Linked DNA regions of Astyanax mexicanus. The protein of the gene in region 2 purifies or fractionates together with the protein of the main gene of each other region. This does not show direct contact. Links are inferred from orthologs where the notes say so. Each region holds a gene or a part of one and is shown on either strand. Other genes may lie near its edges. The genes, in order: ap3b1a and ap3s1.

Region 1 (16,854 bases), on a different chromosome or scaffold from region 2:
TGCATGCACAATAGGTATTAACATTGTAGTCAAAGACTACAACAGTGTCATGCCAGAATGTTGTGGAAAGACTTTTAGAAGAAGCTTTTAGCACCAGCAATGCCAGTGACTGAGCCCATCCAACAATGCTAACGCCCCTTTAGCAATGCTGGTGACCTGGCTCAACCAATGTAGCTATAGTGGCGGCCCAGCCAGTCTAGCCATTAGACAGATTCCTATAAGCCATCTCACTAAACAGTTATGTGGCCCAAGAACAGTTAGAATGAATAATGAATGGATGACTCCGGAGCAGCATTAGCATGGTTGGATGAGCCCAATCATCAGCATGGCTAAAGCAGCATCCATGACAATCTGACATGACACCATTGTAGTCTTCGGCAATGTTAATATTTATGTGCATGTAATTTTGTGTTGTACAGCCGTCTGCCAACAGTGCTGGCACTAACAGGATGGCTCACAGAAAGCATAACTGTTTTGCTAAATGTTCGTAATCATGGCTGTTCTCATGACAATCCATTTGTTCTCAGTCTCCAAAGGTTCTTGTATAGGTCTAGCAGATAATTCATGTTGCTGATATCACCTGCATCATTGGTATGGCCTGCAAAATGTTGATTAGAGCATCCAGTTCCCAGAGCCCTATAAAGAGACACAATGGACAATTTGCTGTCCTACACACATTCAGATGTTCCAAAAAATCTTTAGGATTTGTGGGAGAATATTCAAGATGCATTTAATGGATTATCACAGGACTCCATTAGGAACCTCTGCATGTTTACACCAGAGATCCTGTATCTTCAAAAACCATGAAGCTGTGGATGGCACAATAAGATGCTGTACTTTGATGGACTAGAGTAGGTCCTACACAATATTAGTATTAAAAGTAACAAATCACACAGTGCCAAGCAAATACGTGTCACACGCTGTAAGCTAATCAACAAATGTATACATTTGCAATGATTTTACTGTTTTCAGATTAAAAACAATCATGTAGATATTATATAGCTCTGTTAGCTTTATTAGCAAACCTTACTATAGCTCAGGGATTAGCTGTTAGGAAGAAAAATAGCCAGCATTCCCATTTCCATGGTTGCAGCTCACTGTTTGTGTGTTGTTGTGTTCTTTACCTGGCAAACCCGAGTGTGGAAATGGGACTGGGTGAATGGTGATGTGCAGGTTCGGAAGCCACACAGATGCCCCACACAGTTCAAATAAGAAAATACTGGCTGAAGCTCTGCTTATTTCTTAATAATATGTGAAGATGAATCCTGGTCATGATGTGTGTTCTTATAGAAAATATAATCCTTAAATGTTCCTTAAACATATGGAAAATGCTTTGTACTTTATATGCATACATTGGTCATATATTTCAGATTTCTGTGTGTTCCTGGAACTTCTTCCAGGTGTGCAGTAATTTTAAACCTAATTTAAAACTGGCTAACTTCATTCATGTATGTAAGTACACCTCACTTACCTCAATGTTTTTGCTTGCAACGTTCTTCACCACAGCAGGGAACAGTTCTGAGGCGTTTTTCCCTCTCGCAATCAGCTGAGTAAAAACAAGCAGAAAGTCAGAGCTGAAATTGGACGGGAACGTCTGGAAATGCTTACAAATCACCCCGTTCTCCAGCAGCACGAGCCGATCAAAGCCCAGCAGCCTAACGAGCTCAAATTGACTGCAAGAGCTTAATAAATTAATAGTTTAAGTTCACTGTGGGTTATGGCTTGTTGCTTGCCATGCCAATGAATCACTTAGTCAGGCAGGCTGTCATTCATCAACCACTGTGTGTGTGTGTATATGTGTGTGTATATATATGTGTGTGTGTGTGTGTGTGTGTGTATACATACACACAACAATTACCATTGTTAAACATACACACACTATTACTCCATTACACACATTCACTAAAAGTTCCTTCACACAGCATCCTGGTTTGAATATACATTGATTAACGCAAACCTCATAGCCCAACTCTTTTGATGGCATTTCTGTTTTGAGCAAAGCACAGTACCATACAACTAGAGGTGTTAAACAATGTAGAAAATAGAAGCTTTGATGAAAGACCATCTCATTTTTTAGGAGAGCAAAACTATTGTAAGAAAAACTAATTTGAAGCAAATGAAAGGCTTTCATGGCTCACATGGCCATGAACTTTACCCCTGTTCTAGATGCAGTCATACAAGCCCAAGCCATACAAGCTCAGGCCATGACACTACCACCACCATGTTTAACAACAGGAGTTGTATGTTGCAGATCATTTAAGCAGATTATACGAAAAAGGGGGTGTCTCCCACTCGGCCGTAAGTCCAGCTGTCTGTGGTCAGGGCAACAGAACTTACAGTACCAGTTTGGACACACCTTCTGATAATGTGGCACATTGTATGTTTGACATAAAAAGGTCCTCCGGTCTTGTTTGATTTGATTTGACCACTGCATCAAGACTTAGATCCGTGGTTTACATTAGTACCAAACCACAACAACTGATCTTTGTGGATCACGGATTATCCATGGTCTGTTAAACCCTTGGTACCAATTTTTTTGCACTTTAAGGTGCACTATCAATAAACATCTATTTTCTGGTCTATTTTTATACAGAGGCGCACTGGATTATAAGGCGCATTATACGACACTAGTAAGGAACAGGGGTGTCACCATGTTTTCTTTCTAATTCAGCAGGTCTCTCATTTGGAAACTAAGTTAAGAAAAGCTAAGCTAAAGCAAGCAAAACTCTAATTCTTAAAAAAAAACCCAAAAAAACCCTTAAAGTTAAACGAGCACTGGTTGTTAATCTACAGAGATTTCTCTTCTCAAAACTGTTTATTTGGGTGAATAAAGCACTTCTGTTTATTTACAGTAAGCTAAGAGGTCTAGATTTCCACTAAAGCTGGGTGCAAAAGCATTAGCATTAGCGGCTAACCGCTTGCTCTAGCCGCAGTTAGCGCTAGTAAATGTCGCCCGACAGCGTTCCAGTAAGTCAGGGCGATATTAGCTAGTGGTTCGTTCCATGTACCTTGTTTTAACATGGTAACAATGCAGGCTACAGTCCGCTATAATCGCCTCTAAATGGCAAAAGAGCTAACGCTTAGTGCGGTTAACGGCTAATGCTAATTCTGTTTCAGCAGTGCGAGCCGAGAATAGCAGCAGGCTACAGGTCGATAACGCTAACGCTTAATGTCTTAGTGGTTAGTGACTAATGCTAATATGGCTCAAGCCTTGGTGCTGGAGAACTAAACTGAAACTCCTGTATAACTCTGTACTTCAGCAGAGTGGCTTTACTGCTCCTTAATACCAGACTGGTAAAATTCATACATAAGGCGCACTGATGATTTTTGGGAAAATTCAAGTATTTTAAGTGTGCCTTATAGTGTGAAAAATATGGTAGTTAACATTGTGTGCAAATTACGAAGTAATACATTTACACTTTACTTACAAATTAATTCATTCACCTATTTATTTTCCTAACTGATCTGTGGTACAGGATAATACCAAACCATGACAACTAATGTAAACTATGTTACACCCCTAGAACATACAGTATGCATGTACAAATACATGCACAGCCATCCATACATGTAGAGGAGTAAACATAATCCATATGGTGTGCCTGGAATAAATTCAGTCAGTAGCAGTCTGCACTCCCCTAAAGAATAAAAAGGCTAAAGCAATAGAAAATGTGAAAAAAAAAGATTCAAGCATCTGCACATGAGCCAAAACATACAAGCTCATCTGTCAAACATGGTGGAGGTAGTGTCATGGCTTGAACAGGGAAATGTTTATGGCCATGTAAAACACCAAAGCCTTTAATTTGCTTCAAAACAGTCTCTCTTAAAATTCTTTTGCTGATCTAAAAGAAAATAGGTGATCTTAAATCGAAGCTTCAATGATGTACATTGTTTAACTTTGCACGGATATGTAAATATCCATAAATATAAGCTAAAATTCATATCAATCATCTTATATTTTTCTTAAATATCTTTAGTGTATAGGAAAAATGTGAATTTAAGGAAGAAAAAAAAAATTAAAACAAGACTGTTGTGCTAAATCCACTTCTATTAACAATGGCATTGTTACAGTAACATAACACACACAAACACACACACAAACACACACACACACAAACACACACACACACAAACACACACACACACAAACACACACACACAAACACACACACACACACACACACACAAACACACACACACACAAACACACACACACACAAACACACACACACAAACACACACACACACACAAACACACACACACACAAACACACACACACACACACAAACACACACACACACACAAACACACACACAAACACACACACAAACACACACACAAACTAAAACAAACAAACACAAACACACACTTACCCCCACCACCCTCTTCATGGCCTCCAGCTTGAGGGACTCCTTGGTGCTCTCCAACATCTCCTTCAGATCCTCGTTCCTGAAAAAGATTCAATTCAGCCTGATTCATTTCACACTCAAACCCATCTGACACACACTCCTGAGTGCGCACACACACACCTACACACTTCCCCTGGCAGACAGATTCATTTCACACCGATTCACCCCAACTTTGATTCATTGACACGCTCGATTCGCTTCAGGGCCAGATTTAATCAAGTGGGTTGCTTAGGTACTGTACTTCCAACACACAAACACACACACACCGACACACACCTCTGCTTGGGGCTGCTAAGCCGATATACCCCACACGGTCCGTAGCCCCACACACTGACCATGTCCAACGATTACGACTAACAGCCTCAAAAGGAGCCGCTCCAAACACAATGAACTACAGTTAACGAAAAAAAAAAAAAGAACTACAGGATCCAGAGTTCCAGAAGGAAGATGTATGATAGAGGCGAAACACTCCACACTACACACTCCAATCGGCAACAGAGGGAGAGAGATAGAGAGAAAGCTCGGTCAGAGTACATGCCGTTCGCCCTGTGCTGGTGTTCATATGTTTAAAGTGTGACTGTCTGCTAAGCGAAAGGTTCAGAAGAACAGGGCCTTTGTTTCAGGCTTGATCAGCTGCCACGAGACGGCCTGTGCAGCCCCTCGCCTGATGTGCAGTGACCTGGGGCTGAGTGTGAGACGCTGAGGGAGGGGTGGTGGTGCGAGACCTTCGTGCATGACTACAGTCATATGAAAAAGTTTGGGCACCCCTATTAATCTTAATCATTTTTAGTTCTAAATATTTGGGTGTTTGCAACAGCCATTTCAGTTTGATATATCTAATAACTGATGGACACAGTAATATTTCAGGATTGAAATGAGGTTTATTGTACTAACAAAAAATGTGCAATATGCATTAAACCAAAACTTGACCGGTGCAAAAGTATGTGCACACTTATAATTTTATTGATTTGAATACTCCTAACTACTTTTTACTGACTTACTGAAGCACAAAATTGGTTTAGTAACCTCATTGAGCTTTGAACTTCATAGCCAGGTGTATCCAATCATGAGAAAAGGTATTTAAGGTGGCCAATTGCAAGTTGTTCTCCTATTTGAATCTCCTCTGAAGAGTGGCATTATGGGCTCATCAAAACAACTCTCAAATGATCTAAAAACAAAGATTTTTCAACATAGTTGTTCAGGGGACGGATACAGAGATTTCTCAGAGATTTAACCTGTCAGTTTCCACTGTGAGAAACATAGTAAGGAAATGGAAGACCACAGGGACAGTTCTTGTTAAGCCCAGAAGTGGCAGGCCAAGAAAAACATCAGAAAGGCAGAGAAGAAGAATGGTGAGAACAGTCAAGGACAATCCACAGACCACCTCCAAAGAGCTGCAGCATCTCACTTGCTGCAGATGGTGTCACTGTGCATCGGTCAACAAAACAGCACACTTTGCACAAGGAGAAGCTGTATGGGAGAGTGATGCGAAAGAAGCCATTTCTGCAAGCACGCCACAAACAGAGTCGCCTGAGGTGTGCTTTGAACTTCATGCATAACTTGTTTGTAACTTTGTTTGTGGCGTGCTTGCAGAAATTGCTTCTTTCGCATCACTCTCCCATACCCTTATATATAAGTGTTTCTTTTGGTCAGTAACACTCTTGTGTTTATTTACTAGCAGCGTAAATTACCAGTGTTTGCTTAGGCATGGATGTAATTAGAGGAATCTGTACCAGGTTTGCCTGGCACCTGTGTGGCATTAATGTGGCATTTGGTTCCACCCAATATCGATATCGGCAATCTGCCAATCGTGGTGAAAGGCAATCGGCGATCGGAATCGGCCCCAAAAACACTGATCGGTCCATCTCTAGTTAAAACAGACTCTGGTTCGTTTCAGCATGTGTGAAAACAGTAATCGCACTGAAACAAGACCAAAACAAACTGCACAAAGAAGAGGTGTGTCGGACCTTAACAAACTTCAAAGGGTTATTTTGAGGTGAAAAATGAAAAATCTGACCCAACTATTAAATATTTCTCATGTCTAAGCAAAAAGGCTGTTCAGGTTCAGTATAACCTGATTTATTACCTAGATAATTACTACAGCTATGATCAAAACAGCTCAGAGGAGACAGCTTACTTTACTTTACTTTTGTGCCTGTGTAAAAACAAACCAAACAGACAGAAAATTCTCCACAAGTAAACAAACTCAACAGATTCAGATCAGAGAAACAAACTACAGTTGTGAAAATACCCTTAGAAAATCATAGCATTATATTAGATGAATTTCAAAAATCCTGCACTATATCCTGCCACTATATAAAACAGGAGAAAATTTTAACCTGAAATGTGGTTTCAAGCTTTTGAATAGTGGTATATACTGTAGACCTTCCATGTAAGTATTGGTGGATACCAGTGCTGGATCAATATCAGTAGCAGATCTTATATTAAATACACCCTTATTGTTAAAAGTAACAGCCCAAACACAAAACACTTATTTGCAACTTATTTCCCCCAATGATTGCTTAATCATTACAATGGACTACAACCCAAAAATGGACTGTAGAACCTAGCATCCAGAACTTGACAAGTGTGTAGTCAATAGTACCCTTTGCTTTTGGTCTCCTCAGAGTCTCCATAGTGCTGGTGGTTGCTGAAGGCTTGTTCCTCCTGGCTGATGTCTGACCTCAAGGTGAGCTGGAGATTCTCCGCGGAAACCAGCACTGTCCGGACGACTCCTGCGGCCTCAGAGCGCAGGCTGAACAAACCCCCGTTCATCACGACTCAAAAAGAAAGCTTGCTTTCAGAGAATCCCTTGGAAACTACTGGTCCAACTTGAGCTTCAACTGAACCATTCAGGATCAGGACTACCACCCAAGACCTTTCCTGCGGTCACCAGTGAAGGTGACAACCTGACAATCCACCAGTTCCAACAAGAACAGGGAACAGAAATGTAGTCCACCCAAGGTCACGAATGATCGACAGCAGTGGAGGCCAGGGATTCCCAAGAAACCTAATTTTCACAGTAAATCCCAGAGCTAAAATCCAAGCTATGGCATGGAACTTTGGATAAAATCCCAGCTGAAGCTTCACCAATGAAGTTCTTCTCCAAGTTGTACCGTGTCCACTGCTGGCCTCCTAAATCCTGATAAGTACCAAGACAGCAGAGATGCCCACTCACTCACTCACTTAGTCACTCACTCGCACTCACTTATTTAATCTCTCATAAGCTTAGGAACCACGTGAAACAGTTCCAGCCCAGTGCTGTCCCATCACTCCTTATCAATTACACACCACGAGTGCAACAGAGGTCCTTTTCAAACTTTTAAACCTCCTGTTCAAGCTCCAATCCTCTCCACAGTGAAGCTGACCTTCAGGTTCCTTCTGCAGGGGTGACAGGAATGGTCCCTTGCTTCCGAAACAAAGTGACCACCAAGCCGTTACTCCCTACGGATCGCTCGACAAAGCTCGCAATAAGCCCGGCACTCCTTGCACATAAACTTCACTTTGGCTGGTTTCCTGTTAAGCATTAACTCTGTAAACTCTTTCTTTAATCGTTGTCCTCAAGAGCGACAGTATCCACAGAACAAACAAACACACACAGGCGACAGTCCTGTTCCACTGGAACCAAGATCCTTCCCCCAAGGCAGGGCTTTCTTCTTAATAGATCCAAGGGAAGCGTGGAAGCTCTAATCTACAGTGAATAAACACTGCCAGTCTTTCATCACCTTCACAGCGCAAACCTCCAGCTCTTCCTGTGGCAAGCCCGTCCCAGAAGCCCTGTAGGTGCTTGATAAGGGCCAAACCCAGCAAGCAACACTTTCCTCTCCAACACTTTCCTCTTCAACACAATGGCCAACAACCCACTGTACCACTCGCTAAATTCAATACTTGAAGCCAGTACTTTCCAGTTGTTGACCATTTCTCAAAAATGGTCAACAAAATCTGGGATGTCTCATTTCAATCAGAGATGGCAGATATTTGCTCTAGAAACAAAATAGATTTCCATACTTCTTAATGTTTGTAGCCATTCTAGTGGTTCTAATGAATGCATTCCGCTTAGGGATGTATGGAAAATATTGTGAATAAGGAAAAGGCTAGAATAATTTATACAAAACAATGATAAGGAAAGAAAAAGAAAAAAGTTATTTTAGTTCATACTACAGTGTTGTCTCTACAATTCTTTTCAGTAGCCAGAAGTGCTTCTTATAACCACAGGTGTAAAGGCTGAGCTCACACTGGGACTCCAGTAGGTCATCAATTCAGGGAGTAATCCAGCTCAGAGAAACAGACATGATCGCAGCTAAATCGCTCTAACCCAGCCAAGGCTGACTGCTGTCTTGTTATCAGAAGTATAGACTTTTTTGAAACTTAATAAAAACATAAAGCAGCTGCCGAAATAATTTTGTGGCCACTACTCACTTTTTCTTTAAAGTTGCTTATAATTTGATATAATATCTCTTTTTGACTACAGTAAAAAATGTGTGTGTAATATGTGTAATGTGTGTATGTTGGCTGTACTCAAATGGCACTTCTAAATACTGGCTTCAGTCCTCAGTCATGTGAACGAAAGCCTGCTGATTCGCTTAGAGCCAAATAACATTAATACTACACACACACACACACACACAAACCCTAATCACATAACCATACACACACATAAACACACACACTCAGTACATCTCACTCACACTTTAGCACCAGCCCCCCCCTTCGACCCCCTCTCCAAATTCCTGCTAACACATACCACTAATACCACAGAACATAACATACCAACACTCACACAGTCACCATTTACTATATGTCTACTACACACTAGCAACTATACCACATTTATACTGGCCAACTTCAAAGGAATCTATAATCTATGTTGTTTTTTTTCTTAAGTAATCTGTACAAAGCTACTGAAATTCTTAAATGTTGTTCCTGAATGCTTTGCCCCGTGTAATATGTCTTCTATGATACGAAAGCTTTAAAACACAATGCTTAATACGTTCTACATCTAATCACAAGTCTTAAAAGCTCGGGACATCGGGAGATTGCTGGTTCAAATCCCGGTCACGCAGCTTGCCATTAGCTGCAGGAGCCCTAAAAGAGCATAATGGGCATTGCTCTCTCTGGGTGGGTAGATGGTGCTCATTGCCCTCATCACTCCTAGGGTGATGTCAATCAGCACAAGGCATCTGTGAGCTGATGTATCGGAACAGAGTCGCTGCGCTTTCCTCCGAGTGCACTGTGATGCTACTCAGAAATGCTGCATCAGCAGCAGTTTAAAAAAAGAGGCGATGGCTGACTTCACGTGTCAGAGAAGGCATGTTATAGTCCTCACCCTCCTTGTGTTGTGGAATCACTAGCGATGGGGGATATGCAGCTCTTTAGCAGCTAAACGGATTAGACAATCTGCCTAGCTATACTGGGGGAAAAAAATAGAGAAAATAAAAAAAAATAATAATAAAATAAAGTTCATAGGGTTAATACACTGCCACTATATTGCAGATATAACTAAATTTTAACAGATTAAAACTAACCAGTGTATCCTTCCTGCAATACCGACAAAGTCTGGCCTACAAACCATTCATGCAGAACTGTAAGCGATTACTATTCTCATATTACTGACTCAGTCAGAGACTGCCTGACTGTGTTCCAGATCACATTCCAGTGTTAGAAAGGAAAGGTAAACTGTAGCTCAGTGCCAGCAGGGTGCGAGTGAGTGAAAATAAGCCTGCATCAGCAATACTGAGCACTGATGATGTGACCTCAGTCTGGCCTTTATCCACTATAGCGGCTAGGCAGTTCCCCCTGCTGGTCAGTTAAAGCTTGAAACAGTATATTATGGAAGTGTGTGTGCACAGGTAAAATTTCTCCATTTTGAAAATAATTAAATAAATAAATAAATAAATAAATAAATAAAGCTGCACATGAGGTGAAGCTCTTTTTAACCATTTTATAGTAACACTGCCTATAAATGTCATGTCCATTAGGCTCCATAAACATGTTATTAACAATCATGGCTATAAGTATGTATAAAAATGCATAACAATTTATAAACATGTTTACTATGCATTATGAAATATTTACATGGTGTTATATGTCAATACCAAAACCTTACACAAAGCTGCCTTAATAAAACATGCTATAATAATAAAATAAAAACAAAACTAGGGATGCAATAAAAAAATCTGTTTTGGGTCAAAAACCCAATTACTATTTGCCACTTTTTTACCACTGCAGAAATGAAATAGCTTTTGTATACATGCCTTTTCAAAGAAATTACAAAATAAGCACAAAATAACCAATTAAAAATATTTATTGAACGTCAAACATATTTAACATCCCAGTTGGTTGTGATTTGATTTTATCTTAAAAAAAAATCACTGTTTGGAATAAATCTAAATAATCAAAACTTTTTCACCCGTTTTTTTGCCATTTTTCGACCAAATTGTTTGGAATTCTGAATAATTTGGGTTGCCGAATATCTGATGCACCCTGACTGAAACAGTAACAAATTGGTGGGACTGAGTTATTTTTAAACCTAAAAATGATCAAATACAAAAGTTCAGTTTGTTTACAGACTAAATAAACACTTAAGTCAGTCATACAGTAAATGTTCAACCCTCAGTCTGAAGATTAAAACATGTTTAGCACACATAATTAGAGGATTTATTTAGCTAGCATGGTCGCTAACATTCTGTTTACCACAGAACTCACTCAAGTCTGACTGAAACTCCACTTATATAAACGTTTAGACAAGAAAGATAGAGCGACTGAGCAGACAGAACACAGAAATGAGTGTTAGTTTGTTTGTTTTTGGTTGTTTTGGTTTGGTTCTGAAGCTATCTAGCTAAACTAGCCTCCAGTACAGATACACAGAGTATCAGAGTCAGAGTCCAGTACAGCTGTTTTTGACTAACTAACCTAAGAACTGATTATAAGAACTTAACTGTCTGAGAGAGTGAAGTCTTAGTTAGTTAGCTACATAACAAGTAACATGCTAACAGTTAATACCACAGTACAGACCATGTTCTAGGATCAAAACACAAAAGTGTAGAAGATAAAGCTTAAAACACGTGCACACAGTCAAGTAAATTACCTTAGGAGTGTTTTGAGGCTCACATTGCAGACTGCTAATTCCATTTAGTGGCTTTGCCTTTGCCTGATTTGTACAGAGCACATTGCTAAACTTACAACTATGGTGGGCCTGTGTTTTTCCCCCACCTGTTTTCAGATAGCAATGTCAAATTTATCAGAGGCCATATTAAATGCATTTTTCCAATACCAGTATTAAACAAATGTACACATGATAACAATACATTTTTACACCATTTCCTCTACACTGGGAGAACATTAGCAAGAAGAAGATAAAGTCAGAAAAGCTAATGATAGCACAGGGTCAATACCAATAACAGCCCTGATAGACAAATCCAGTGTGAATAGTGCTTTTGACAAGCAGCGTGAATACACAAGCAAAAATGTAACTGCAGCCCAACAATACCAATCTGATTAAACCCCTTATAACTCTCCAGTATAATAAAACACTCAAGCATTCAGCCACACATTAGCCTAAGGCCAACCATGGCTGTTGGGTTCTCTGGAGTGACGATGAAGATGAAGCTCCAAACAGTACTTTTGGGATGAGCTGGAGCATCAGAACTAATTGTCTAAATTTCTGAATCAGTTTCTCTGATTTTGCTATTTAAAAGGTATTTGTGTGAGTAAAAGGAACACTGCTGTTTTCTTCTATAAACTACGGCAACATTTCTCCCAAATTCCAAATAAAAATATGGTCATTTAGAGCATTTATTTGCAGAAAATGAGAAATGGCTAAAATAACAAAAAAGATGCAGAGGTTTCAGACTTCAAATAATGCAAAGAAAATAAGTTCATATTCATAAAGTTTTAAGAGTTCAGAAATCAATATTTGGTGGAACAACCTTGGTTTTTAATTACAGTTTTCATGCATCTTGGGATGTTCTTGAGTCCAGGATATTACTCTACACACATATCTCTTTCGAAAAAACTGTTAATTTGGGTGTTTAATTAAACTAAGCTTAGCTTTCAATTGTTTTAATTAAAACATATGGCTAACTTTAGAAATAAATACAATATTAAGCTTGTATTTTAGGTTTAAACCAACTGTATGCAAGCAATACATTGAAAGGTTTAAATTAATGTTTTATTAAGCCTGTTGAGAGTTTTGTTCTGCTAAAAAAAACTGACCAACTTTTATATTTTAATGTAAAGAAAAAAAAGTTCAGAATTGTTTCTGGGAGAACAGACCCGCCCACCTGTAATAGGAACAACAACACCACGTACCTCAGCAGCATCAGCTTTAACGCAGCGCAGAATCGCTGATCTACAAATCATCCTCTCTCATCCACTCTCACTACAGTTCGCGCACATGATTTATACATCGAATAAAGCCGATGTGTAGCGAACTAAATCACTGAAAGCGCTGGAAACTGTAAAATTAACACTTTATTTAATTTGATCAAATAGTGACAAAATAAAAAAGCTATAACAAGACAGAAGCAAAGAAAATATACAACTAAAACTAAGTTAACCTAGTTTACTAATAGATAAGCTAACCACACATACACAGACAGACACTGCGCATGTCAGCAGCAACAGGCAGCAGAAAAAACACACACGCACACATCCTCCATTCACGTTATCATCAGCTCATTTAACTACACAGAACTCTACATGCACCCACTTCTTAAAGTCCGCGCTGAACAGGCTGAAGGCGGCTCCCCCGGTGGAGGTGGTCGGGGTGTTCTCCTGCCCCGCTTCCACAGCTGCCTCCGCGCCTCCCTGATCATTGTAAGACAGGCTGTTGGCCGACATGTCCGCTGATATTCTCCAGCTGTGATAAAGCGAGCTGTGCACTGAGAAGGAGCACAGGGTCTGATGAAGCCGCTCTCAATTAAACTATAATTAAAGTCGATTTTATAAAATAATCAAACCGAAAGAAGAACTTTTCCTGTGGAAGTTTTTTTTCCTCCTTCTTCCACACGCAACCGGAAGTATGAGTTGGAGAAGTTTAAGTCACATGACAGCAGTGTGACGCCCCAGCCCGAGTCACCTGACTAGTTTTAGTACCGACAAACCTCTAAAATCCGCTGTTTTTTTACTATTCGTGTTTTATAAAACATGCTGTCAGTGGCTGAAAGAAATATATTTTTCTTTATAATATTACTTTTATTAAAAAGTTATGTCTCCTGAATCAAAATATATTGAAAAAGTGCCAGCGCAAAACTGTATTACCCAGCAACACTAGTTTTAGTACAGGTATTACAGTTAAACCTCAGAAATCTCCTGATTTTTACTATTCACCTAGTAAAAAACATGCTGTCAGTGGCTGAAATAAATATATGTTTCTTTATAATGTTACTTTTATTAAAGAGTTATTAAAGAGTCAGAATGTTATCATAAAGTGTCAGCTCAAAACTGTGAAACTCAACAATTTCTTACTTTTTCTTTTTTTATCTACATTATTTTATGTGTTTATAAGTCTCAAAAAATGTATTAGTTTTTTTTACTCTATATATAATCAGACTAGTTCATAGTATTTCATTTACAGACTAAAACAGAATTGTATTTTATATTAGGGGGACTTTTATTTTGACAGAAAATCGTTTTGTTGTGTTGTGTTGAATCACAATGCTTCACATTCCTCTCTCACTTTACCGCTTAATATGTGAGTAGCTACCTAATACACAGCCCTGTTATCTGACTTGTTGTTATTATTTAAGCACTCATAAATATATAATATCAACACACATTTTATTTCTGACTGTGTTAAAAAAATAAGGCTGTGTCCCAAATTACTCCCCACCTCTTACAAAGTGCACAATAACGTCACACACATTTCTTAAATATTTGAATGTTTAAATATAGTTGATATATTGTGCTCTGACTGACTGTTTTACACACATGCAGTGCACTATGTAGTGAGCTAGGAAACATTTGGGATTGAACACATAAAAAAATATATGACTGGTCCAGCAGATGGAGCTATAGCTTTATATGTAACAGCACCACCTTAGGCCGTATTGTAAATCACAGCTGATCCAGGGTCTTGAGAAATGCCTTCCACCCGGTGTCCACTTCATCAGAAACACACAGTACAGTTATCTGATTTTTCTCCAGATCTACATTAAGATCTTAATAGTATATGTTTTTATGTTACGTGCATTTGATATCTGAGTGTTTATAATGCTGCTTTTCATTGACCTCAGATATCAGCTATTACTGTTAGCACTGTCCAGATTAGCATTGTTAGTATTGTAAATGGTAAAAAATCCAGTGTGCACAATTTTGCAGTAAAAAAAAAAACAAACATATAATGTTTAAAAAAGAGGAGATGCTTTTTGGCAAATAATTCATTGGTTAAAAGCTTACAACTGGTAAGTAGCAATTAAAATAAACTTAGCTTTGGAATTTAATTAAAAAAATGTCAGTTGTCCTTAAAATGTAAAACAGTACACTAAGCACATTCACACTTTTACACAAAAACACAAATAGCTCTGCAACTATGAAATGTATAAACGGAAAAAGGTCTGGCTGACCCATATGGCAACACATTTAGCTAAGCTTTAAAACTTTAAAACGTCTGAGAGGTCGGACAGGTAAAGTGCAGTTGTAAAGTCATTGCAAAGATGAAAAATGAAAAAAGCAGATTGTTTGGGCCACACGGCACTGCTACTGAACAGCTAAACACTGGGGGTGTTCTAAAACATGGCTGGTAGTGTTACTGTTTGTTGTTACTCTTCTTTAAATATTGCTGAAAAATGAAAAAGAAATAAGTAATTTACAGTTTTAACCACCAGAGGGCCACAAAGAGCTGTTACGGAGATGACGGTGATAAAAGAGAGAGAGAGAGAGAGAGAGAGAGAGAGAGAGAGAGAGAGAGATAGGGTTCCCTAACCTACCCCTGGTCTCTTGGTGTTGACATGTTTGACTGACCTCAGGATGACTTTTCTGCTTTAAAGCTTTAGAGAGGTGAAGAGTCACTCTTTAAACTTTTAACACACTGCTCTGGCCTTTAAACTGCTCCAGTGTTTGTACGTGTGTGTGTGTGTGTGTGTGTGTGTGTGTGTGTGTGTGTGTGTGTGTGTGTGTGTGTGTGTGTGTGTGTGTGTGTGTGTGTGCAGATGTCTGTCTGCAGTGCCGGGGGGGTTATAAAGTTCTGTGTGTATGTGGAATCAGGGGTATCGGGTCAGTTTTAGTAACTGTTTACATTTCAGTAGGGTCAGAAAACACAGCGGTCAGGCTGACCCTGGGTCAGAGCTTTGGATGCTTTGGCCTGAGGCCTAGTGTCTCCACAGCAAACCACAGGGTATTTGCCACAAACACACTCACACACATGCACCTTCATTGAAACACATTTTGGCTGTGTATGAGTTAGCATATAAAGGTCTTGGGACTACGTACCTGTAGACCAGCAAAGTGCCCATACTGACCCCATTTACTGTGGCCAGCAGGGGACATGCAAGCATTAAAACTGGACCTTGAATAGATGGAAGATGGTGGCCTGGTCCTCATCTGTGCTACATTTTCCTGTGGGGGTGCCGGAATAACGTATTAGACCCATGGCTGCTCCACTTTACAAATAAAGGGTGCTTTCAAACCAGCAATATTTGACTCTGGTTCACTTACCCTATAGTGCAACTCATGAAAACAGGAGCGAGTCTCGATCAAACCCAGCTATCAAATATAGTTATTTTATTTGAGCAAAATAGGTGTTGCTGATAGGGTGCAGTTTAATCTGATATAATAGACAGATAAAACAAATTACCACAGCTATGAACAATCGCTGCTGCTACTTCATGCTGTTTACACGCATGGTCTATGCTGCGTTGACTGCTCGCAAATGTTCAGCTTTCTATATTAAAGCAGCATTACACTGCACAAATATACATGCTGGAACACAACATTTTTTCGCTATATTTTCTTTCTTGCTCCCGAGCCAGACAGCTCTGACCAATCAAGATGCTTGCGTGGTTTATTGATGAGTATTTTGGTGCGTTTAGGTTTAGCACTGTGTGAAGGTTGCACACATGTGTTTTTCTAAATGTATATTGAATTGTAATGTGCATAGAATAACGCAATTATACATGACCTGTCTTTTGGGTTTTTTTTTGTTTGTTTGTTTTACTTACCCTATACTTTGCTGTTTTAATAATTTTAGATGGCTGGACAGAAATCTAACTTCTTCAGTTTGCTACTGTCTTCACTAAGAGTGTTATTCTTTTTTTATTCATTCTCAAAAACATAGTGATGCTACTATCTGGTTGTGTATGTTAAGTATGTTTTTATTTTGCTTTGTGCTTTTTATTTTAATTGAACTGCAGAAAGAGCAAAGAAACTGTTAAATAACTGTTTAACTGCCATCGGCCATTCTTCTGTCTAAATATCGGCATCAGCATCGGCCATCAAAAAACCCAT
Region 2 (16,701 bases):
CAGTCTCCAACATAAGACTGTTGGTTCAATTCTTGGTAAAGCCACAGCCATCTGTGGAAAAGGGCTGCAACTAATGATTATTTTGGAAGACAACTAATCTGATGATTATTTTTTCGCTTAGTCGATTAGTCAACGTTTTTTTCTGCCATGTCCTCCATCTTTAAAAACAAGAGAAACAGCTGAACATGAAATTAAAAGGCATTTAAATGTATGGATGTTGTTTAAATGTGGAAAGTACTGATATTTAGTGATTAAATAATCTAGTAGTCTGTTGTGTTTGGGCACTTTTGGAGACAGAGACTAAGTTGAGTGTAAACTGTGTGAGTGAGCCATTTACCCGTCTCCCATTGTGCTTCTGTCCCTAGCACTTTGTGGAATCCAGTACTGTTACAAATTAACGATTAATCGACAATGAAATATGTAGTGGACAAATTTAAATAAATGTCAACTATCAACTAATCGTTGCAGCCCTACAGTGGACTGCGTTAAACAAACGATTATCACCTACTCTATAATTGGTATGATTTAAAAAAAAATCATTTAGATTTGAGGATGAATTTACAGAGAGAAGATTGATGATGTTTTTTTTTACATAGTCTTTGCTTTTAAAAGGTAAATTAGTACAGCATTTATCTATGCGAGTATTTTTATGTAAGTCAAGAGAGTTATGAATGACTTTCTGGCAGTTCATCAGAAGAGGTCAATTTGCCCTTTCAGCTCATGGCTATGTTTAGAATACTCTATAATTGCTAAAACAAAGCGATAGGAGGTGCGAGACTATAGACAGCACCAGGTGTCCAGAGAAAGGTCAAAACACAGTGTTAATCTAATTATCTCTCACTGCAGGCTACAAAAAATCTCCTGACTCATTTTAGTGGAAACATTCCACTTAAACTTCTTCTCAAACTTGATCTGCTTGAAAGACCTCTCTGTATGGCTCACATAAATCAGGAAAATTTAGTATATGTATTAAGCAAACAAACACTTTAAATGGGCCCTGTAATAGAAAATTGTGTTTATCCTGACAGAGTTGAATAGTACGTTTTGTACATGGAAATAGTGTACTGTAAACCTGAAACACTGCTCTAGTTAACTTATTAAAATGATAATTTCAAATTCAGCATAATAAACATTATAAAATCCCGAAACTATGGTGACCTGCAAAGCCCACCAAGCAAAGCCTTAAAAGTCCAAATGCAGCTGTTTATGGGTGAATCCAGTCAGGAAATCCAAGTGGATCATACACCACCATGCTTTTAAAAATGGACAAAGCTAAAAGAATGCCAATCAGAAGAGTGGGAAGCTATCCAGCTATCTGCATATCATGGCAAGTAGGCCCAAATAAAACTATAGGTTGTAAATACGTTTGTAAAACTGCATCTGAGCATTTTCACCCTAAACAAAGTGATATACTTACTGCTTCCTACAAAAACATCTCAATAAATGCATACTAAGAAGCATCCCAACACAAACCGCAGCATGTTTCCTGTGCAGTCTATCATTCATCTGGCAGACTTTTCTTTCAACACATCACATATGGTCATCAGTCATTTCTCATTAGCACAGAATAAGATGCAGAAGCATTAGCAATCCCAGCAGTCCCTTCCTGTCAGGTATAATCAGCTCTCATCATGTCTCCATAGCTGGCACTGTTTTCATTAACGCTCTGTAAGTACAAAGCAGTGGCCTATTAAATCAAATCAGGCTCCATTACAAAAACAGGACTGTTTAATGAGATTCCAGCAACAAAGTTTGTGATTAAGAAGTAAACAAAGCTTTTTAGAGGGCTTTTCATTTAAAATGCTTTGTCCAACAGACAATTAGACCCCAGTTACATCTGGTTACTTAATTCACCTTGAGTTTCAGCCAGTTAAAAGTGCAAGTGCAAGGGAAAGTGCAAAGTCATCCAAGACTTAAAAGACTTAAAAACAGATAAAAACTCATTTGATCTGACTCAAAGTGATCGGAGATGCATTTGAGCCATGTCAAAACTGAGTAAACATAACAGTATCTACAAGATGCATTTGTACAGATCTGCTCAAAGTGCATTGTGTGTCTCCTGACGCACATCAGGCAATGACCACATCAAATCTAAAGCGACAGAGGGGCAGGGATTCAACAGCATGGCTACATGTATGCTGACTTGATTCCTATTGGAAGACATTGTAGAAACAAAGGTCTCTGTATTCATAAAGAAAAAAAAATACATACAGGTGTTACCAAAGTATGGACAGTTTTCTGCTAGATAAGAGATTTTGCTGTTTTATCATTAGCTGCTAGCATTTCATACCAATTAAAAAGAAGGCTACTATACTAAACTTCGATTCAGACCTGCATAGGTGCCTTCCTGCCTCAGAATCCTGCCTTAATAAGCAATATTTCTCCCGATTCAAACACAGGCAAAGTTACAGACACCTAACTTATCACAGCAACCAATGCAGATTTATGGTTTATGATGTTATGGATACGCAAATACGATCTAATTACTAGCAAAAAACACGGCAGACAGTCATCTTAACAGCTTTTTAAAAAACACACTGTCCTGCTGTACAAACTCAACATGTGGTCTTATGTTACTGTGCTGGCAGTGCAAGGCAAGTCAGTTGTTGCTGTAACACCCCTAGTGGCAATTTTCACAATTGGAATCTGATACAATTTTATACGTACAACACACTTTATAACACGGCAGCTTTGCAGAAATCCGGATCTAGTCTCCTAATGATTAAGCTGTGAGTGGCAATGTCAGAGAAATCCTCTCTCATGAAAAAAACTCATCAAAAGAATGGAAGAATGAAAATCCATCACTCCAGATAATGTAGTTCCACAGCCAGGGCTGAGGGGCTTTAGACCCATCTGGACGTCTGCTGACTTTAGGCTCATGTGTGTCCCATTCTTTAAAAAATGTTTTTCTATGATGATTTTCCCAGCATTTCGTGCACAACTAAAGGCCTGTGCCATACCAGCAATGGGTGCACCTCAAAGAAGCACACATATTGGTGAGAAAGGTAGTCAGAAATTGGGTCTGAAGATACTTAAATGCAGAAACATCTGAAAATCTATATAGTCATGCAATTTTCTAAACCAGCCAACCTTGCAGCAGCAGTGCAATTTTTTAGTCATGCAGACACAGGCTGGCCACCTGAAGTAGTACATGCAATGTTACTTCCTGGATGATGAATTCCTCATGTCCAAAATATAAATAAATAAAAAAAAATCACAAACTGGTTTAACGAACATGTCAATGAGCTCAGTGTTCTTCTGTAGCCTTCCCAAGTCACCAGATCTCAATCACTTTTGGGATGCAGTAAAACAGAAAAGCCTTATGGATGTGCTTCTAAAAAACACAATCACCTTTTAAGAACAATAATTTAAGTGATAAATATTAAATGAATGTTTGCAAAAATAAAATATTATATTTGGGTCAAGCTCATTGATTGGTCTGGCAGAGTACATTCACACAACTAGCAAATTCAACTGGTGCATTAGCAACTAGTAACAATAATTTTAGTGGATGTCTGAGAGATATGTTTCAGTCTTATTGTATTTGAGTTTTTACTCATCATGCATAGATGGTTAAATGGGTCTTTCACAACAAAAGATACTGAGGCAACCAGTTAATTTGACAGGCTACATTGCCTACTGTGCTGTATTTTATTTAGATTTCAAATGGTCATTATCATGTTTGTGTGGGTCACAGAAAGGTGGTGGGTGAAAGTGCAAAATGATGGGAAACCATGGTACTGACTTTCCTCTTAGTCAAAACAAAATAATGTTCAATGTATATTGGAAAATAACCATATTCACTATGTAATAAGCACAATCGGTATGTGATGCAAAACAGTCAATGTAGTCTTTGTGAATTTATACAAAAAATTTGAGTGAAATATTTTAATGCATTTAGTGCAAAATAAGTAGTAGCACTGTATCGACCAAATGGCTAATACTGATTATTTAAAAAAGAATCAAATATCAGCCAAAACAGATACCAGCCACACGATATCATTGTGCACCTAACTGATTTTATTATCCATGACATATCATATTTTTAAAAAACACATTAGATCAGCCATTTATCATTTATTATACTTCAATATTGGATACACAATGTGTTTTATAATGTTGGATTGTAGGGGTGGGAATCGATTACTATCTCACGATTCGATTCGATTCCGATTTTGGGGGCCACGATTCGATTCAAAATCGATTTTTGATTCAAAACGATTTGAATTATAAATATTTCTGCTTCTGGCTTATGAATCGTATTGAAAAAAAACCCTCCATAATATACACTGGTCCTGGAGCAAGTAATGTGTTACAAAAACAATAAAATGTGCAGGAATGTGGGTCCTCAGTGACAGAGGAATCACTGGGATATCACAATGACGTTAATGAACAATAAATACATAAATAAATAACACTGCTTTATTACCAGGCTACTAGCGGTGGTGTGTAGGTGACGCTGCTGGGCTGATGTGATGATAGCAGTGGAGCGCTAAAGTTCAGGAGCAGCTGCTGATTAACTAGTTAATTTAAGGTGGTTGTATTTCTTCAGAAAGGGGGCAGGAGGTGGAGAAATTAATTCATATTGTCCATTCCTTAATTCCTCTGTGATGAGGAGCTGAAATTAGCTCTGATTAGCTTATTGTTATTTTTCCGTTCCGCCTTAAATGCTGCAGCCCGCTGCCACCTGTAGCGTTATTTAAGGTGGAACTGGAAAGTTAGCTAGTTAGCTAGCTAACAGTTACTGAAACTAACTACTAGCGATCTTTTTTATGCTTGTTATGAAGCATTCTGCCATAAAACATTGAAACTACACGTTAATCTAAGGTAATATAGTGCTTGTTCTGCCATCTTACCGGTGATTCTCAAACACCTACGCTCTGTGTGTGTCTGGAAGATCTCCAAAGGGACAAGCGCTATCCCCAGGGTTGCCAGGTCCAACAAAAATACCCAGCCCAAAATCAGTCTAAAACCCGCCCCTCAGAATCGATTTTGGGACATTTTAAATCGATTCTGAATCGTAGTAAATGAGAATCAAGATTCTTATGTGAATCGATTTTTTGGCACACCTCTATTGGATTGCTGACCTTATATTTTTATATTACCACAATATATCACAGACAAAATATACTCGTGCAACTCTTACAACTCTTGCACCCTGCACCATGTTGCACTGTTTCACACTGTACCTACCAGTGCCCAGTCCCATACTTATCCCACAATCAGTATTCTGCACCCTGTACTCCCCACACAACTCATTCTGTACCTGCACTTACTCATAGTTACTCTGTCACCTATTGGACTATTTCCTCACTTACACACACTTACTCTAGATATCTGCACATGTACATAGCATCGTATATTTATATATTCAGTCGTACTTAACGTATATACATGCAATATTATATATCTACAGTGCAAGTTATTTTGTGGATTGTTATTGTGTGCATTGTGTATACTGTACATACTGTAAAGTAACTGCAAATTTCTATTTTATTGTATTATTCTACTCTACTAAATATTCTTCTCTGCATACTAGTGGGAACCTGCACCCACTTTTTTCACTCACATTTTCACACCTGCACTTTGTTGTCAGTTCTTTTCCAAAACCATACAGCCCTAAAACTATTGCCAATTTATTTTTAATTTAGTAAAATTTTCTTCAGTATGCTGCATGAGTAGGTTACTTGCTGAAGATCAGAAAGGCATGAATGGAGAGTATTGAGCTGCTAAACAGGCCTGAACAGAGTCAGTGAAGTGAGCACGAGTCGATCACAAGGCGAAGTCACGCTGTAAACCAATACTGGTTGCTGTGTAATCCTATAGCCTGAGTTAGGATAGGCAGACAATGAGCTCAGAAACACAAGCTCACTTTTCACCAACGTAAAAGGATCAGCCTTAATACTTTATGAACAGGATTTGCAATGCAAAAAAAAAAAATACAATAACAGTAATCTTGATAACAGTGTCTAACTTTAATACTGCTGATCCAGCTGCAAGTATTAAGTATTTCATCTGCTTAAATAGACAAAATACTTCACTGAACAGCTGTATTAACACAATCAGTCTACTCTACTTAATTGGAAAGGTTTGCAAAGCTAAAATAATCATGCTTATATTCTATAATCTAGGTAGGTTAATCAAACTTATGAATAGCAGCTAAGTTAGTGATTACACTAAACAAACACAGCAGGCAGAGTGGGCTCTTAGCTAGTTAATTAGCTTGATGTCTACACAAGTAATCCCTCCATCTTCAGTTTATGTCCTCTGATAATGAATCACTGAGTAAAAAAACATTAAAATATATTCCACTGCAGAACACACCCTTAAAGCTGAGAAAGTCAGCTAGTTAGTTAGCTAATGCTAGTTAGCGTTAGTTAGCTAGCTGTCTAGCAACTCTGTTGCAGCTTTAAATGTAACGTTAGCTAGTTAGCTAGCTAGCTAACTAACCTACTTATACTGTAACTACAAAAAGTAGGTTATATTTATAGTAAATAAATATATTATTATCGAACTAGCATCACATAAATAAATGTCTATCTAAAACTAGCTCCAGGACTGACGTTCAACCCACACACAACAGTTAGCTATAGCCAGCTAGCAGGCTAAGCTAGACCCACTGAAACTCATACTCACATAGTGTTCGTAGAATTTGGACAGCCTGGGTTTTCCATGGTTGTTGAATATCAGTATGGCTTTTATCATGTTATTATCCTGTCAGGCCGTGTATTAAACCGACAGACTGAGGTACGGACGTCGTTCTGTCACCTGTGTGTTCCAGTGTACCTGAGTGAAACTAGAGCCACTCAGTGGCAGTCTGGCAGCACGGCGGAGGGATACGTAGCAGACATTAGTGAAGTTAGCGACCGCAGTGAACTACGCCAGATTCTTCCGCAGGAAACTGTAGATTTCAAAAATAAAAGACACGTGTAACTCTAGTAGAGAACGAGCCACACCTAACCTAATCAATCAAATAAGTGGTCTCTTTTTTATAGAGCTGGATATAAATATATTAAACATAAAAATATATAAATATATATTTCAAATATTAGCATTGTTTTTTCTAAATTAATATGAATTTGTTTTCTAAAAAGCACTTAATCTTTCTCATTATTTTGTCCGTTTCTCATTTTATGCAAATAAATGCCCTTAATATATGTTTTTTTATTTAAAATTTGTTTAAAAAATAAAAAAACTTAAGTTAATCAGAAAAACTGATCTTTTTTCCTGAGCAGTATTATTACATTTATACGTAATATAAATTAAATATATATATTTAAAATATTTTTTAAATATTGCTAATGTTCATTTTTATATTAACAAACATACAAGCGAGCACAATAGCCTGTATCAAGGTCAGCAAACATTTATTGAGGTAATTTCCATATACTGTAGAATAAGCCTAAAAAGCCTATCCTGTACTACATATTATAATAAAAGTATCATTTATATAAATACTGCAAGGCTTCAATACAACCTTCCTAGTGTGTTCCAGTCAAATTTTACTAGGTCTCTCTAAAACATACAGTAAATTTAATCTGACTTTGCCCACACAGTGTATCTGGGCATCAACATTAATTCAGATATTTTCCGTAAAAATGTAAGTGTTTATCTTTTTGCACATTTGTGGTGTTCCCAATCAAATGCACCAGTCATCAGAAATGAAAGTAAGATTATAATATGCGTAAAAAAATTGGGTTCAGATATATGATTGTGGGATGGACACGTCCTTCTCCCACCATTTCACACAAATATATGTACAGCATATTTGTGGTGCTGATGGAAGTGAATCCAGGCTGGAGGATCATCAAGATTTGACTATTCTTAGATGAATATGTCGTTCCTTTATCTCACCCATACCCTACAGTTAAACAGGCATTTTCTTAAACTGACCTCTGTTCTAATTGGGTTTCAGCTCATTAACAAAGCAAAAAAAAAATCAGTTTTCACTTTGTGATTGTGGGTCATTAAGTGCAGACTGCGGAATAATTGGAGGTTTTTTATTATTATTTTAGCACAAGGCTGTAACACAACAAAACGTGATATATGTGAAAGCGTCTAAAGACTTTTCAAATGCACTGTAAATATATTGCAAAGGCAATGACTTTAATAGTGGTCCCAATGATTTGTTTTCATCCTCAACCTTAAAATATATATACTTATATATATATATATATATATATATATATATATATATATATATATATATATATATATATATATATATATATATATATACTTAAAAACATGTACGCTACATACTGCATTGTATTGGGAAAAAAAACATCAGAACCAATTTTACTGTGCTTGGTTATCCACGGGATGGCGCGAGAGCACCGTCAACTATACCTCAAAAATCTCAGCATAAAAACCCTTCACTGTTTTTTTGTTGCTGTGGCAAATTTAAAGTGTCCAAATTCATAAATATTACATAAATACAGTGGACTTATTTTTCTTTTGATGTGCTCGTTTGTGCTAAGCGCCTTATATATCATATAGTTAGTTGGTGCTTAGTTTAACACATGTTTAATATTCATGAATATCAGTGGAGATTATTCACCATTAATAACTATAAAACTATCTTGAATCTATCACATATCCATGTTTTTTGGAAAGATGGTCTAAATCGTGTGTTTTAGCTCGTTAATGTTTCTATCAGCTGAACATTAGTCTCTTTCTAATGTTATTGTTTTGCACATTCCCCTCAGCCTAATCTTTATTCATGGATTGCCGGATTGTCCATTCATAGCCTCTGCCTGTGAATGGGGGTAGTTTCTAAGAGCTCAGTGGTTTTTAAAAGGTTTAAACATGTTGTTGTTAAAACATAAATATACATACAGTTTTACGCACAGTGGTTAAAGTTTTAATGTAACAAAAGAGAGATTAAAGGCGTCAACTGCAGAGCCGTTCTTTTTTTCTGGTCCAAAAGTTGAACACATGCCCAGTTCCACAACGAGAACCAGAATGTGTGGCAGGGCGAGTCCAAGTGTTAAACACAGGGGTGACTAGACTGCTTCAAAATAAGCCCAGACCTGTTTCTATGATTTAATTTGCTCAATATTATCTCTCTATAATATATTTTAACGTTTTTTTATAAATATTGTATCGTATTTTGCTCGCAACACCCGTGCATAAATGTATTTTGGTCAGATATCTGTTTAAAATAGATACCAAAGACTGCTCCCCCCTCTCTGCAGAGTGGTAGCGTCCATTAAAGTTTTGCCTATAAAATCTATAAAACGTGAGCTCTGCTCATTCAGACAGGCTCGGATCTACAGGAGAAGCGCTAAAAATGGAGCAAACCGAATTAGTCAAGCCAGAGACCCTGGATGATCTTATTAAAATCCTGCACAAAATCTTTGAAGATGATCACGTCAATATTGAAGAGGTGCAGAGCATCATGGAGGCATATGAGAGTAACCCTCAAGAGTGGATGAAATTCGCCAAATTTGACCAATACAGGTAGGCAATACTTTATTATTAATATTATTAGATAAGAAAATATATATAGAATTCTATATTAATGCAGCAAATGCAGGAAATGTGCAGTGCAGAGAAAAGGACAGTAATGTCAAGCATACATTTGTATATATATGTATATATTTTTTTATTTTTATTAAATACTTTTTATTAAATATATGAACGTAACTAGGTCAAATATAAGAGGAAACATTTTACTACTATATATTGTTTGTATGTGATGTTAAGTAGTAAGTAGAGATGTTGCACATAAGTGAAATAAATAAATAAATTGAATAAATTGCTTTTGCTAAAAATAAAAGTTGTAATATTGCACACAGTATGTGTATATATACTGCACGTGGCTAGTAAACAGAACAGTACACAGTTATACTGCAAATTGGAGGACAGTGATAAAAGATAAAATAGCAGTAAATAGTTATGTTGTACAAGTGTACTTATTATTTGAGCCAAGTGTATTATAAGTATAAGTATCATAATAATTATTATTGGCAGTGCAATTAGTGCATAAATTTTTTGAAAATATATATTTTTATCATTTGTTATTTTAATTTTTCAAATGTTACTCTTTACTAAATACTTTTTTTTCTTTTTTAGAATTGCAGCTACTTATGGGCCCAATATTTCTCTAAAATAACCCATAGTTGTTTTTAATCAGGTTATTTTTCTGGACGATGCTCTGACTCCGCCCTCAGCACCGAGGTCTCTCTGTAGTGTTTTGAGAGGACTTCTAATAGGAGGTGTCTCAGGGTGGGGATGGAGGCGCCAATCACAGTCCAGTTTCTGGCCCACACCCGCTAATTTTTTTAGACTGAGGGGGGCGGAATTTTACTTCCCACCCGCATTCCGACACGCCCCGCCTCCTGTGCCGGGATTGGCTGGCAGTTCTAATTCATAAACGATTCATAAGCAAATTTAGCCAGCATTCTAGAACAGCTAGCAGCCAATCCCAGCGCGGGGGTGGCGGAGAGGGGGCGGGGTTTAGAAAGCTTAATACGGGTGGGTAATAATGATGTGATGGATTGATTGCAGGGTCTCCGGGTTGAGAAACTCAGGTTCCATTGCCATGTTTGTAAATCTAAAGGTCGTTATTAACAGCTCGAGCTGTTGATGGCACCTTCTAGAATTAGCACAGGTGGAGGTTACTGCACTGCACTGCAGTACATACCGTTACTTCATCCAAGATTAAATTATTTGTAAACAAATAATAATAATTACACTTGAAAACTTTATTTATAGTTTTTTTTTGTTGCAGTATAACAAATGCAGTTTTATGCAGAATTAAAAATCCTATAGATATGATGTAATTTTATATTCTGGTGTTTTTTCTGCATTGGTATCAATAAAAAAACACTTTTATGAATAAACAATGTTCAGACCTAGCTGACATTAATTTCTGTGGATGATAATTTAGTCCTGATCCTGATTTTTTTATTGCCTTTTTTATGCCTCTCTGTGGAAAACGGTGGGGCAAATATTTTAAACATGAAAAAATAATACAGATACATAACATCCACAGTTTCACTTTTAAAAATTAGAAGGACATATAAGATTTATTTATTTATACATATTTTTAATGTCCTAATGTCTTTGTTTAGGTATACCAGGAATCTCGTTGATGAGGGAAATGGAAAATTCAACCTTATGATTCTCTGTTGGGGTGAAGGCCACGGCAGGTAAGGGGTTACTCCCAATAATATCAACAGCAACTGACCTATAAAAGCCACTTATAACTTCACTCTGAACAGTGGCTTCACATAAAGCTAAACATGGGAGAGATGTTCTAAGGAAACTAAAAATATTTTTAATACACTCATTAAATACAACATTAAAATGTTCCTAACCTTCCTGTATAACATAATATCCTATATTATCTTCTTAAACCTAAATGACGTCCCTCTGTAATCTATAGAACATTGCTTTGACGTAGTTTGTGGGCGTAGTTGAGACCTGCTCTGTAAGTATATTGACGAGCTTGGTTAATGTTAATGTTAATGTTAAACGTTAATGTTAATGTTAAAGGTTAATGATCAATTGCACCAACTCAAAAAAATTGGACTGAATAATAATTCTGTCCTGATGAACACACGCAAGCTGAAGATAGTGAGGTTCAATGGTCTAGTGCTGGGGGAGTTATGAGGTCATAAATGGAACTGGTACATTGATAAGCATAAATAAACTGATTGTGAGGCAGACAAACCTGGATGTGAAAGGTTTACCTTTTATGGTCGTTTTAGGTTAATTCTATACTTTAAAAATGTTATTGACTTGTTTTAGAGAAGTAATGCATGGGGATGTATAGAAACCGGACAAGTTCATTCAGTTAGACCAGTGAAAAAAAGAAAGAAAAATCTTGCGTGAGTGAAATTACAGGTTTGCATGAAATGTCGTGCCATTCTATTATTAAACTGCACTCTTCTACCCCTGCACTGCTTTTTTTCACAGAGCTTATTTTCATTTAATCATTGGTTTATGTGGATTCTAAAAGTAGTAAAAGTTTTTGGGTTATTTCTAAGTCTTTTCTAAGTGTTTTTGTTTTATGCAACTTGCAGTTCTATCCACGATCATGCGGAATCACACTGCTTCATGAAGCTCCTGCAGGGCCAGCTGAAGGAGACACTGTTCGAATGGCCTGACCGTAAATCACACGGAGACATGGTCCAGAAATCCCAGCGAATCTTGCTGGAAAACCAGTGTGCTTACATCAACGGTAATTGTGCTTGATGTTCTTTCCACTGCCTGCAATGAATGGCTCTCTTTGAGCCAAATGGCACAGATTGGTACATCCTTTTAACTATGTCACTGCTTACCAACCCATTAATCCTTAGTAATGAAGCACCAAACAAAAGTGCTAAGGCAGCATATCTCTTTTCCTAACAGGACTAGCCAGACTGTCTGTAGCTCTAAATGTGGGCAGCTAATCAGATTTAGGTTACATATTGCATTACCAGTTTATAAATATCAAGGCTTAAAAACAGTACCCTAAAGATATGAACCGAGATATATATTTAAACACTCCATTCAGAGATACTGTACTCTGTGACTTAATGATAGCACTTGCTACGTGTGAAACTTGACTGTACAGTGACGGGGAACTCAATACGGCTTGACTTTAATGTCTCTGCTGGAATGTCTGTCTGTTGCAGATTCCATAGGCCTCCACCGGGTAGAGAACGTCAGTCACACGGAATGTGCAGCCAGCCTGCACCTGTACAGCCCCCCCTTCCAGCAGTGTCAGACTTTTGACCAGCGGACGGGACACAAGAACACAGTCAAAATGACGTTCTGGAGTAAATATGGGGAGAGAACACCATTTGTAAGTCTGAACAATATGTACACAACTAAATCACTGGATTATATATATATATTATACCATAAACTGTGAAAAATAATAGCATATAAAGACATATTTCTGTAAATATTATGGGATTTTTAGGCTTTTTAAACAAAAATACAAAGAACAATAACTTGAGTCCAAAATTAATATAATAATATAATATTCCTATTAAAGATGAATAAAGACGCAAAAAACATGTACTTACTTTAAAAATCAAATTCCACAGATTTCAATAATTACTGCACAATTGTATCATTCCCATGGTTACAAAGTCATTTACAGTGGTTTGATGTGAAGTGGTCCAATATAGGGCAAGGGGGAACACAATGATAATAAGCAAATATAGCTATTTTCTATCTATAAGCATTACTGACAAAGCAGTAGCAGTAAAATAGCAGTAAATCTACACTCAGCATATAACTCTCTGCTAGCGCCAGTATAAAAGCATTGCCACCACCAAAGAGAAAGATATATTACACTAGCTAATGTGAGATTAGGCCAGTTTTACAGTTGAAAATAACATTCCCAATGTAATTTAAAGCCACACATGACCTACATGCTGCAAAAGCTTGAAACCTGTTAGATGGCATGGAGACATGCACACTGGAACACCGGCGCTTCATGGCTCTGTTTGAGTACTGTTTGATTTCTCAGTGCGCCACACAGCATTCACACAAAGTACTGCATAAACACTCATTCCCTTTAAATAAAAGCAAATTACCTAATGAACTAAATTAACTTATGCAAATAGAATAAATATATTCAGCTAAATTGCTTGCAACTTGGTAGTGTTCCTTAGTTTGTGATGGAATTTTGGTGATAACACATAAACCCCATTTCTCATCAAAATATTAAACCAACAAAAGAGAATAGACTCCTGATGGTTAATCCTATATAAATTAGAAAGCTGTAAATCTATCTTTTAAGACATCTGATCTAAAAAGATGAGCTACTTTATTGTTAAATAGACAAAATGCTCAACAGCCAGCAGCAGAGGATTGCTCAAGCCTGATCAGATCAGTGGCATCACTGATTCTAGGCCAAACTGAGGTCGCGAATGGCCATAGCACTTCAGACTTTAGGCTTTACTTTGATTTATGTACACAAGCCATCCAATAAAGGGCTTGGTAATTAGCCAATGAGATAACATTGTTGTATTCATGTCAAGGTAAAAAACACTGCGTCTGCATTGCTGTGGTCCGCAGGGCTGGAGTCCAATGAACCTGCTTTAGATAGTGACCTGATCTACCTTACCCACATGCTGCACTGTGGTAGCAGCTGGCATTTATTTATTACACGATAATGACCACCATATCAACACGTGGTGGACTGAAAGTCAATATACTGTAATGGCCATCTCACTCTCTGGCTCTGATCCCTATTAAAGACCCCGGATCTTAGATAAAGACAGAACATCATCAGATGTCGTAAATGATCAAGCATGAGGAAAAGTTCAAGATCTCCTTAATGTGTTATTAAACAATAACAGTAAAAGTCTCAGTACTGTATGTATGGTTATCATATTGGCTGCAGTAATAAAAGAGTGGTAGATAAAATATTTATTTTGCCCCATTATTACCTGTCCCTTGAACTCTTCTTCGGAAATCCTTTTGTTGTCTGATCAGCTGATAAATATTATCTATTCTTGCACCCAGGGGTCATAATCTGTATCTGTCTGGAACATTATCACTATATTGATGACATAAAACAGGTGTTGAAGTGTCTGTGTGCTATCGGTATCTTCTGTTTGGTGTTTTTGTTGAAGTCACTCTGTTGCTCATGGTGATCAGGTGAAAGTAATGTTTTGAATTTATCACATGCTTATGTAATTTACGGTGGGCTACAGACACTTGTTTTGATGAATGGAGCTTCAGAAAAGTCTAATATACTTTTGTTGGTATGTAAGACTATAGGAAAAGGTAATGAGACTATACTGTTAAATGGATTTTCCTACTCTAAAACGAGCAGGGACCCAATGTCCTACAGATGTACAGCCGTTTGCAAAAGCATTAAGCAAACAAAAGTATTGCTGATGCCTTGCAATGCCCTGACAAATATCTAGAAGGGTTAATATCTCGACTTGCTGTTTTTAAAATTACTGGAAGTTACAGCCAATAAAAATGCAGGACATGGGGTGAGGAGATTTCTCTCGTACTTGGCATTCAATCAGTTCCCATTTGTGTTTTTGCAACTGGAGAAAAACCAAGTAGATTGAAAATTAGATCATATGCAAAACACGCATCTGCACATGTTACTGTTTTTTTTGTTGATGATAATAAAATAAAAAATGGCAGATTAAATGTTAGACTAGTTTTTCTTCATCTCATCAGACAAACAGCAAGTCTTTGAGCTTAAAGGCAAAGCTTTTGCTTTTGCTTTAGAACAGGGGAAATGGAAAAAAGTTCAGTGCAGAACAGCGTCCAACAACCACTGCACATGTTCTCTTAAGTAGATGCACATGTGTTAAAGCCTCCGGTAAAGAAATATTAGAGCATTTATTAGACTATTAAAGGTTGTTTGTGTAGTCTCTGGAAAAACGAAATAATTAAAATGAAAGAATTAAAGTGAAAGAATGAATGAATTAATGCTTGTCATAGAATAACCAAATCTATTTGTTGGTATTTTTAACAGAAAGTGATATTATGTGTGTTATAGTGATATTAGGTTTTACATCAGCATAGTACACAAGTAAAGTAGCATGCAAGCCATTCATTTAATATTGTTGTGGTGCTATAACATGACAATTATTTACATCAATATAGCCAGCTTATGTTAAATCGTCTATATTCCACATTTTCTGCACCATTAGTTTTTCCTTGAGGTCCTTGTGTTATGTTTTTATGGGTTTTTGTTGAATGTAAACATGTATAAGCTTATAGTGAATTATTTTGTATTTTATAAAAATAGAAAAAAAAAAGTTTTATTATCCTAGAAAAATTATCCCAAAAAAATTAAAAATAAGATTAAAACAGTAGTAATAGTCCATTGCATAAGTCCCTTAATGTTAATTTATTTAGAAAAGAAAAATCCCAGTTTTGTTAATATAACCCGTTTGTACAGGTTGAATATAAACAGAAATGTGCGCTCCAGGTCGTCTAGACAAGTGCAACCATTTTGGTGAAATATTTACAGAAATTGGAACAAGAAAACTGCTAAACTTAGAAAGTACTGGATGTTCCATCACTGCAGGAAACTTTCCAGCCACCTTTCATTGACTAGCCCCTAATGACAGTGGGCTTCACTACTTTTTTATGACATGAAATCTTGGCGTGTGCGTTTGGATGGAATCTGAGGAATCTGTTTCAGAAGGTAGCAGACGAGTAGATGAGGGGGAATGGGGGGCTGTTCCTCAGGCCATTCGGTTGATTTCTTCAACATGTGAGAGCTTGCAACGAATGTTCTGGATAACAGTTAATGACGAGCAGACCTGCACATGATCCGCGTCAGTCATGGCAAATACAATGGGCTTATCATCCATTCAGAAGTTGCATAACCTTAACCTGACCAAAATGCTGCCTGTCCAGCAGTATTGCAACATCTGGCCTGTGATAAGATAGATAGCAATAGAACTAATTTGCTGATCTCAACAGGACTCGTGAATTCATTTATTCTAATTTTGAATATTTAATTTTTAGCTTGACAGTCACTTTCATTTGAATCATCACAATACATTCCCTTTTGACTGTGTTAACTTAAGATTTGTTATTATTTTGCCTATTCATCATATTTAAAAGACTTTAGACTACACAGATATCATATTTTTCCAGCTTAATCACTTTATATTTTTACTTTTTTTACTTTTGGCATGTGGTTGATTAAATATTTTCTATTTTTGGTGAATATATTCTATATTAAATATACATTTTATTTTACAAATGTATTAT

Evidence for each region.
Region 1: the proteins of ap3s1 (region 2) and ap3b1a fractionate together in Homo sapiens (co-fractionation; 5 studies listed by BioGRID and IntAct, counting the BioPlex papers as one, with this or other methods). This does not show direct contact. The link is inferred for Astyanax mexicanus from reciprocal best matches to the Homo sapiens genes AP3S1 and AP3B1.

What each region holds. Positions count from the first base shown.
Region 1 is NC_064424.1:23,999,685-24,016,538, forward strand, and holds the start of ap3b1a (AP-3 complex subunit beta-1), read right to left. Parts: upstream 8,124-16,854; 5' UTR 7,186-8,123; coding exon 7,016-7,185; intron 4,451-7,015; coding exon 4,375-4,450; intron 1,547-4,374; coding exon 1,472-1,546; intron 1-1,471. UniProt on the Homo sapiens protein: Subunit of non-clathrin- and clathrin-associated adaptor protein complex 3 (AP-3) that plays a role in protein sorting in the late-Golgi/trans-Golgi network (TGN) and/or endosomes.
Region 2 is NC_064419.1:37,198,442-37,215,142, forward strand, and holds the start of ap3s1 (AP-3 complex subunit sigma-1), read right to left. Parts: upstream 6,869-16,701; 5' UTR 6,706-6,868; coding exon 6,637-6,705; intron 1-6,636. Other genes in the region: cdo1 (cysteine dioxygenase type 1), read left to right, coding at 9,293-9,462, 11,079-11,156, 12,033-12,190, 12,627-12,796. UniProt on the Homo sapiens protein: Part of the AP-3 complex, an adaptor-related complex which is not clathrin-associated. The complex is associated with the Golgi region as well as more peripheral structures.